Sus scrofa: one gene and its partner. The protein of the gene in region 1 binds, or shares a complex with, the protein of each later gene. Links are inferred from orthologs where the notes say so. Each region holds a gene or a part of one and is shown on either strand. Other genes may lie near its edges.

Region 1 (3,825 bases):
TAGATGTACTCGGAGGCTCTGTCATAAAAACCTTAACTGTATTATGCACATCTCCTGGGATGATGTCAGTTTCATTAACAGTACGTTCAACCTGAGATTGCCTTTTCTTTAATAATAGTTTTGTGCCTTCTACATCACCACCAATGATTTCTTCCTCTTTTTCTTGTTTCCCAGCTGTTAGTGTTTCATTTGATCCTGTCTGGAGTTGTCTGAGATAATCCAAAGCTCCTGTTTCTATGCATGTTGTAAAAAACTGAACATTCCCCCTCTCAGAGGCATCAATTTTAGCCCTTTCATATATCTTATTGTTTGATATGGAAGATAGCAAGTTATGAATGGTACGTTTTACATCACCCCCTATTACTTCTTCACGCTCAGTTGTGTCACCAGCATTTTCATGAAGGAGGCAATAGATAGTCATGTTAATATCTCCTCTTTCATCTTCCTGAATTAAAATGCCTTTCTTTACAGAACTTTTCTGGGAGAACAGATTTTTTATTGCTTGTTGTACATCACCACTCACTATCTCTTCTTTTTCGGCATGAAACTCTGTTGATCTGTTTAATAATTGAGTTTTGGTCAAATTAACATTTCCCTTCTCTTCCTCACTAACCAAAATCTCTCTTTTTGTACAGTCTCTTTTGGAAAGTAGGTTCACCATTATATTTTTGATATCAACTCTGATAATTTCTTCTTTCTGTACCTCAGGAGATGCTTGATTCATGAGCTTATATTTTGCCATTCGAACGTCCCCAACCTCGTCCGCTTCAATGATGATGCCAGGAGCCTCAATAACTTTTTGCGAGTAAAGTTCTTCTAAGGTTTCTTTAATGCTCTTGCCAATAATTTCCACCTTTTCTACCCTGTTTTCAGTAAATTCATGAAGGGGTGTAGTTTCAAAGAGCCACGTAGTTGTCTTAACATCAGAAGGAGGGATTTCTTCCTTGGTGATTTTTGTGATGCTTTCATCTGCTTCTTTAATGGAATCCAAGGTTTGATTTTCAAAAAGCCATACTGCCTGCTTCACATCACCTTTCTGCATATCTTCCTGGGTGACAGTTTTGATATTTTCATATTCTGATCCTTCTCCTCTCAGCTCATCTAGAGTATGGGTCTCAAATAGCCAAGTAGATGTTTTAACATTGCCCTTTTGTATTTCATTGACGCTTACTGTTCTTATATACGTATTTTTATCCACATTTTCAGACTCAAAAAACTTTTTACTTGTCTTTACATCCCCACCTTGAATAGAGTCCACGGTGGGCGCAATAGCATGTGATTCTTCTGAAATCTGATCCAGTGGCTGGGTTTCAAATCTGTATCTAACAGAACTAACGTCTCCCTTCTGAATGTCTTCCTGTGTGACAGATTTAATAATATACACAGTCTCTGATTCATTAATTGAGTCTAATGGCTTTGTTTCAAAAAGCCACCTTGTCCCTCGTACATCTCCATGAATTACCTCTTCCTTTTTAACTGTTGTCACTTCATGATAAAACCCTTCTCTATCTTGAATTGCATAAAGTGGCTGGGTTTCAAAGAGCATTCTGTAGCTTTTTACATCACCCTTCATTACTTCCTCAGTAATTGTTTTCTTGGTGCTAATGTAGTCAGATTCTTCTTTAATCTCATCCAAAGAAAAAGTCTCAAAAATAAAGCACCCCTTTCTTACATCTCCACCTTGTATGTCTGTCACTGTCTTAACTAATTCAGCCCCTTCTTGGCTTTCTTTTATCATATCAATTGGTTGGTTTTCAAAAAGCCACCTACAATTTAAAACATTGCCTTTTTGAATATCTTCAGTCTTCAGGGTTTTGATCTTTTTCAAAACTTCTTCTGAACTGGAACTTATAGAATCTAAGGACTGATTTTCAAATTTATGCCGTATGCTGGAGACATCCCCAGCTTGGATATCTATTTCCACGGCCTTGATTGCCTTTCCTTCTTCTCCTTGTATGCTGTCCAAGTTTTCTGTCTCAAAAAGAAAACATGCTGTACGTACATCTCCACCATGGATTTCCTCTTGTTTTACAGTTTGCAATTTGACTGTTGCTTCAGAGTCATCTTTTATGGTATCAAGTGGCTGTGTTTCAAAGAGCCAAGTACAGGCTTTGACATCTCCCTTATGAATTTCTTCATTGCCAGTCATTAACGAAACTTTTTCATAAAGAGACTCCATTGGCTGGGTTTCAAAAAGCCATCTACAGGTTTTGACATCCCCTTTAACAATATCTGTAGCTTGTTCAGTTTTACTTTCTACTTCTTCCATATTACTAAAATATTTAATTGAATCAAGAGGTTGGGTTTCAAACAGCCATTTAGCAGATTTCACATTCCCAGCCTGTATTTCTTGAGCAGAGATTCCTCTAATAATCTGATATTTATGAATGCTTTCATCAAACTGGTCAATGGGCCTTGTTTCAAAAAGCCACCTACAGCTTCTTACATCACCTCTTAGGATTTCTTCTTGCTGCACTGTCTTTACTTGATGATATTTTCCAAGGTGATCTTGAATGGCATATAATGGTGTGGTTTCAAAGAGTGATTTATTTAACTCTACAGCACCTCTTGTGATGCCTTCCACCTCTATTTTATGTGATGCATCGAATTTCATTAAGTTGTTTGATTCAAAGATATGTGTGTAATTCCTTACATCTCCTCTGTCAACTTCTTCTAGTTTCACTGTTTTTACATACTCTTTTTTGTCTTCTCTAATCTCTTCCAGAGGTTGGGTTTCAAAAATCCATTTTTGGTGCTTAACATCCCCCTTTTCTTTTTCAGAAGCAGTAATTTTTTCAAGTTTTCCTACATCAGGGCTGTCTTTTAAAGCCTCTATTGGAAGTGTTTCAAATAGATGCTTAGTAGTTTGTACATCACCCCCTATTATCTCTTCAGATCTTATAGGGTCTGTGTTAGGAACTTCTTTTAGAATATCTAATGGTTGTGTTTCAAACATCCAACACTTTCTAGAGACATCAGTACCTATTATTGTTTCCTTTTCAGTGATGACCTCTTCTGACTCTTCTTTGATTTTCTCCAAAGGTTGAGTTTCAAATAACCACTTTGCCCTACTCACCCCACCTTTGATATTTTCTTCCATGGATATTCCTCTGATGACTTTAATTTCTGTTATGTTCTTGTTAATTGTGTCTAAGGGTTGTGTTTCAAACATCCAACGTGCTGTTCTTACATCCCCCTTTTCAATATCTTCTCTGTGAACAGTTTTAATTTCTAGCATTTGACCTGAGCCATCTCTAATAACATATAATGGTTGAGTTTCAAAACATTTTATACTTCTCTTAACATTTCCCTTAATTTCTTTGAGCTCAGACCTGAGTTGCAGTAGGTGTCCCTCGTCTACTGAGTGGAGCTGTCCAAGTTGATCCAGATGTTGAGTTTCAAACATGTATCTCACAGTCTTGACATCCCCCCCCGTTATGTCCTTTATGGCAGTTACTACTGATTCTTCTTGAGTTTGATGCATTTTGTTCATTGAGTCTAATGGCTTTGTTTCAAACATCCACCGAGCTGTGCGGACATCTCCTCTGGCTAGTTCCGGAATTTTCTCAGCATTTTCTTCAGTGCCAGAAGAATGATCCCCCAGAGTATCAATGGGTTGAGTTTCAAACATCCATGTGGTATATTTCACATCACCACCAGCAATGATTTCTTGATCGGCAATGCCTTTGGAGATGTTATCTTCATCTGGCGAGCCATTGTTAATAGAGTCTAGAGGCTGATTCTCAAATATCCATCTCATGGACTGCACCTCCCCCTTCAGAATTTCATCCCATTCCAAGTGTTCTCTTCCAGAGTTCAGATCTT
Region 2 (3,825 bases), on another chromosome or scaffold:
TGTAGCTCTACGTCTTTGCCACATTTCAACATATACCTCTTAAGTCTAGCCTGTGTTTCCATACATATGTGTGTGTCCTTTTTCTCAAATCCAATCGTCCATACACGTCAGACATATTAAAATACCCCATGTTAGGTTGGCATCATTAATCATTTCATAAGTTTAAAGAGCAGTTTCTTGTCCCTGGCATAACCATGTGCTGGCACTGCCATTTATCTAGTTGGTCTTCCTCTAAGTAGACTTGAGGAAGAGCTTTGGACTGGAGTGAATGCCAGGACACAGGCGGGCCTTGCTTGGTTGCGTGGGTAGAACATGCTACCTGACTTTCTGCCACTGGCCCTTCTGTCATGACCAGCACTCAGTGGCCTCTGCCTTCCCTCCATCTTCCTGTCTCTCTTATTTTTTTCTTGTTCTGGATTATTTGCGTACTCTCAGTCAGGTAAGCCATCTTCCCAAGACGTTGTAGCTAACTCACTTTGACTTTTGCCTTGAAATACATGGTGAATTTTAATGACCATATTAATAAATAGAAACTGCCGTTCATATCAAAATAATCCATTATTAAGATGATTTCCAAAGTTTTGGGTGCATCTGCTTAGTGATAAAAATTGATTTTCACAAGCAATCTATACACATTTTAATGAAAAAAGCCTCTTCAGTGAAGGATGGTGAATAGATATGGGTTTGTTTGTACTTTAGGATACAAGAATCCGAAAGCACCCGGTGAAATAGAAATATGTGTTCCCATGGAAAGAAAATTAATATTGGAATTGAAAACTTCAGCTATGCAGTCGTTACAAATGAAGAATTCTTAACTCTTTTTAAGTCTTTTTAAGTGTCGACTGACTCACATTTTCTAAAAAATAAATTACGCAGGTGAAATACAAAGAAGAGATGAAGCCTGCAACAGCCATTTGTGATCCACCAGAGCTAAGGAGAGTTAAAGAAAACCAGAAGAACCTCAGCAATGTGTGATCATATTTCTTTAAGTATTGTTTTCTGTGGGCATGGCACTTGTGCGGGTGAAGTCCCATCACAGTGAATTCCGGGGCAGGAGGGCCGGGTTCGGAAAGGTGGAGATAAGATCTCACACATCTCTCCATCAGGCTACCATCACACCAGAATGTGTGCCCTGGCTTATTAAAGAATAGGGCATTGAACATGGTAAGACCTCTCTTCTTGTCCTTGGGGCAATTCAAAGGTGAGAGAGCCAGACCTTCAAGGTAGGGGCTGTGAGTGTTCTCCAGGTCTCTAGGAGAAACAGCTGTAGGAATAAAGATTCTGCGTTAAGTGCTGTAACAGTAACTAACATTGACCGAGTGTATATGATATCTTCTGAGTTCTTCCCATGCAGTGGCTCATTGAATGTTAAGTAATAATTCCCTTTTCAGCGTGCTGGGGAAATGCAGAGAAGGAAGGCTATGTCAGTGAGAGACGGGAAAACCTTTGGAGAAAGAGTAACATTTGAGTTAGCTCTTGAGGAATGACTCAAAGTTTGGACAGGGGGGATTTCATGAGGAGGGGCCTTCCTGGCAGTGCCAACCGAATGTGTTTAGGATACAAGATCAACTCAAAGAGGGGGAGGTTTAGTGTGATGAGCACTTGGGTGAAAGAAGACAAGAGAGAAATGATAATTCAGGCCATGAGGAGGCTATTGGGAGTGCCACTGTTCAACAAAATTTTCCCCTCGGAGCTTTACCCAGAGTAATCTTCCTTTGTACGCTGCCATCCATAGACATTACACTGGACCTTTCCTCACTTTAGGCACTTATCCGGCACAGACTCTCCCTAAACTCTCAAACTGCTTACGTCGGCACAGAGAAAGAAGCCACTCTGGCAGGGGCCTGACCTTTGTCATTTATTTTTCAGGCTCATCAAACTTCACTTGCACATTCACTGCTGAGGGTATATATTGCAAGTCCATTTTATCTGCAGGCCCTGTAGGCCTTGTAATGTCTTGCAAAAAAAAAAAAAAAAAAATTCCCTAACACTAAATTTAAACTCTAAAAAAATCATTTAGACTGTTCCTGTGGCGTGCCTTATAATGGGATTTTAACCTCTAGTTTTCTTTTGCCTGTCAAAAATTCATTGGGTGGACATGTCCTTCTATCTCTCTGTGTTAGATCCTCATTTATTCCCCGAGGGGCTATAGAATTGCTGGGAAGCCTGACCACAAATGCTGGCCTGATCCCCCCAGCTAAGAAAGACTCTATGCAGTAGGTCGGAAATACCTCCCTGATGCTGGTCAGAGCCTGGGCTTCCAGTGTTGGAACTTTGTAGAGAAGGAAACTTTGAGGTTCAGAGCTTGACAACCACTCACTGAGGTGCGGGCACAGGACTGGCATAATCCTCCTCTCTAATGAGAAGAGTGCAGAATCTTTATTCTTAAATATAAGACAGTCATTTAATAATGATGCTTTAGTGCTATGAGGAAATGAACTCACAGAAAGGATCATTTCTCATTACTGATAAGATCCAACTCCGAGAGGCCACCAATAAATAACACAATTTGATGAATAACACCCCGAGGTAGAATTCAAAGCCTTTGAGTAAGAAAAGGCTTAGATCCGGGATCACGGTGATGATGAGTCTATTAGCAAATCGTATTTCACTGTAAACACTCCTAACGAAGATTTTAACTCACGAATGCCCCGTTCCCACGTGCCATGCCTTTGCATCAGTTCCGGAGTACCAGCCCCCCCCCTTCCTTGGTGTAACCCTGCATTGTCTTGGCCTTGTCTCCCAGCTACAGTACCAAGAGCGATGCCACAGAGCAACCCCAGTGAGCAGCACGCCAGAGATGGAGCGGGTGAGGAGAAACCAGGAGCAGCTGAGCGCGGCAAGTTGTTTCTGCTTTCTCTTGTATTTTATCAAACAGTGTATGTTTTCATTCTTTACGATGCCTTTGGAAAAGCTTCAGACCCTCTTCATCTCGGACGCCGATGTTCAGCAGTCACATGGTGAAGGGCATGAGCTGGGGCCCTCCCAGGGGAGCCCAGGAACCTTGTTTATTCATGACATCCTCAGTAAGCACATGCAGGCACTGTCCTGGTCAGTGGGACACACAGATGGGCAAGACCCACTCCGGTCCTCGTGGGCCTCATAATTTAGCTGGTAAATCTCTAAAACTGCACCCGGATTTGAAGACCTGGAGACATAGTGTGGTGGGTCTGTTGTAGATCTGAGAGAGAAAAAAAAAAAAACAGAGAAACTTGTCTATCGGAAAACTAGAGAAGCATGTAGGACCTAGAGCAGAAACTGTACGCAGGGGCCCTCCTGGGGAAGGCCTCAAATACGAGGCCGAGGAATTGGTACCTTCCTGCTTTACCACCTCTGCTATGATTTCAACTTATGATTTCACCATTTTTTAATTTATTGCTGTGTCTTGAACATTCCCATTTGTTTCGTTCACAGACTCCTTGTTGCGAAATTGGTTTGCTCGTCCTCAATTACATGTTTGTTGAATGTAAACTCCTTCTATTCCATGTCTATAAAAAACAAGAAAATATTTGTAATGTATTTATATTTGTTGGTCTAGTTTAACAAAGATCAAAAAGGGAGTTCCCAGGTGGCACAGCGGGTTAAGAATCTGGCATTGTCACTTCAGTGGTTGGGGTTACTGCTGTGGCACGGGTTTGATCCCTGGCCTGGGAACTTCCACATACCATGGATGCAGCAAAAAAAAAAAAAAAAAAAAAAAAACAGGAAGAATAAAGTTTGATTTTCCACCATTTAAAAAGAAAACAAAAACAAAAACAAAACTTGTTTATTGAAATATTGAAATAAGGCAAAAGAAGGCCTGGCCTGACTGTGGTTGTAAGATAT

What was found.
Region 2: the proteins of XIRP2 (region 1) and NEBL are in contact, whole or in part, in a crystal structure (PDB 4F14), measured with the Homo sapiens proteins. The link is inferred for Sus scrofa from reciprocal best matches to the Homo sapiens genes XIRP2 and NEBL. Residues at the interface, in NP_689594.4 of Homo sapiens: Pro2420, Pro2421, Pro2422, Thr2423, Leu2424, Pro2425, Lys2426, Pro2427; in NP_006384.1 of Homo sapiens: Tyr963, Asp964, Tyr965, Asp969, Asp971, Glu972, Ile987, Asp988, Asp989, Gly990, Trp991, Met1004, Pro1006, Asn1008, Tyr1009.

What each region holds. Positions count from the first base shown.
Region 1 is NC_010457.5:73,724,724-73,728,548, reverse strand, and holds part of XIRP2 (xin actin-binding repeat-containing protein 2), read right to left. Parts: coding exon 1-3,825.
Region 2 is NC_010452.4:53,913,077-53,916,901, forward strand, and holds part of NEBL (nebulette), read left to right. Parts: intron 1-876; coding exon 877-969; intron 970-2,746; coding exon 2,747-2,839; intron 2,840-3,825. UniProt on the Homo sapiens protein: Binds to actin and plays an important role in the assembly of the Z-disk. May functionally link sarcomeric actin to the desmin intermediate filaments in the heart muscle sarcomeres.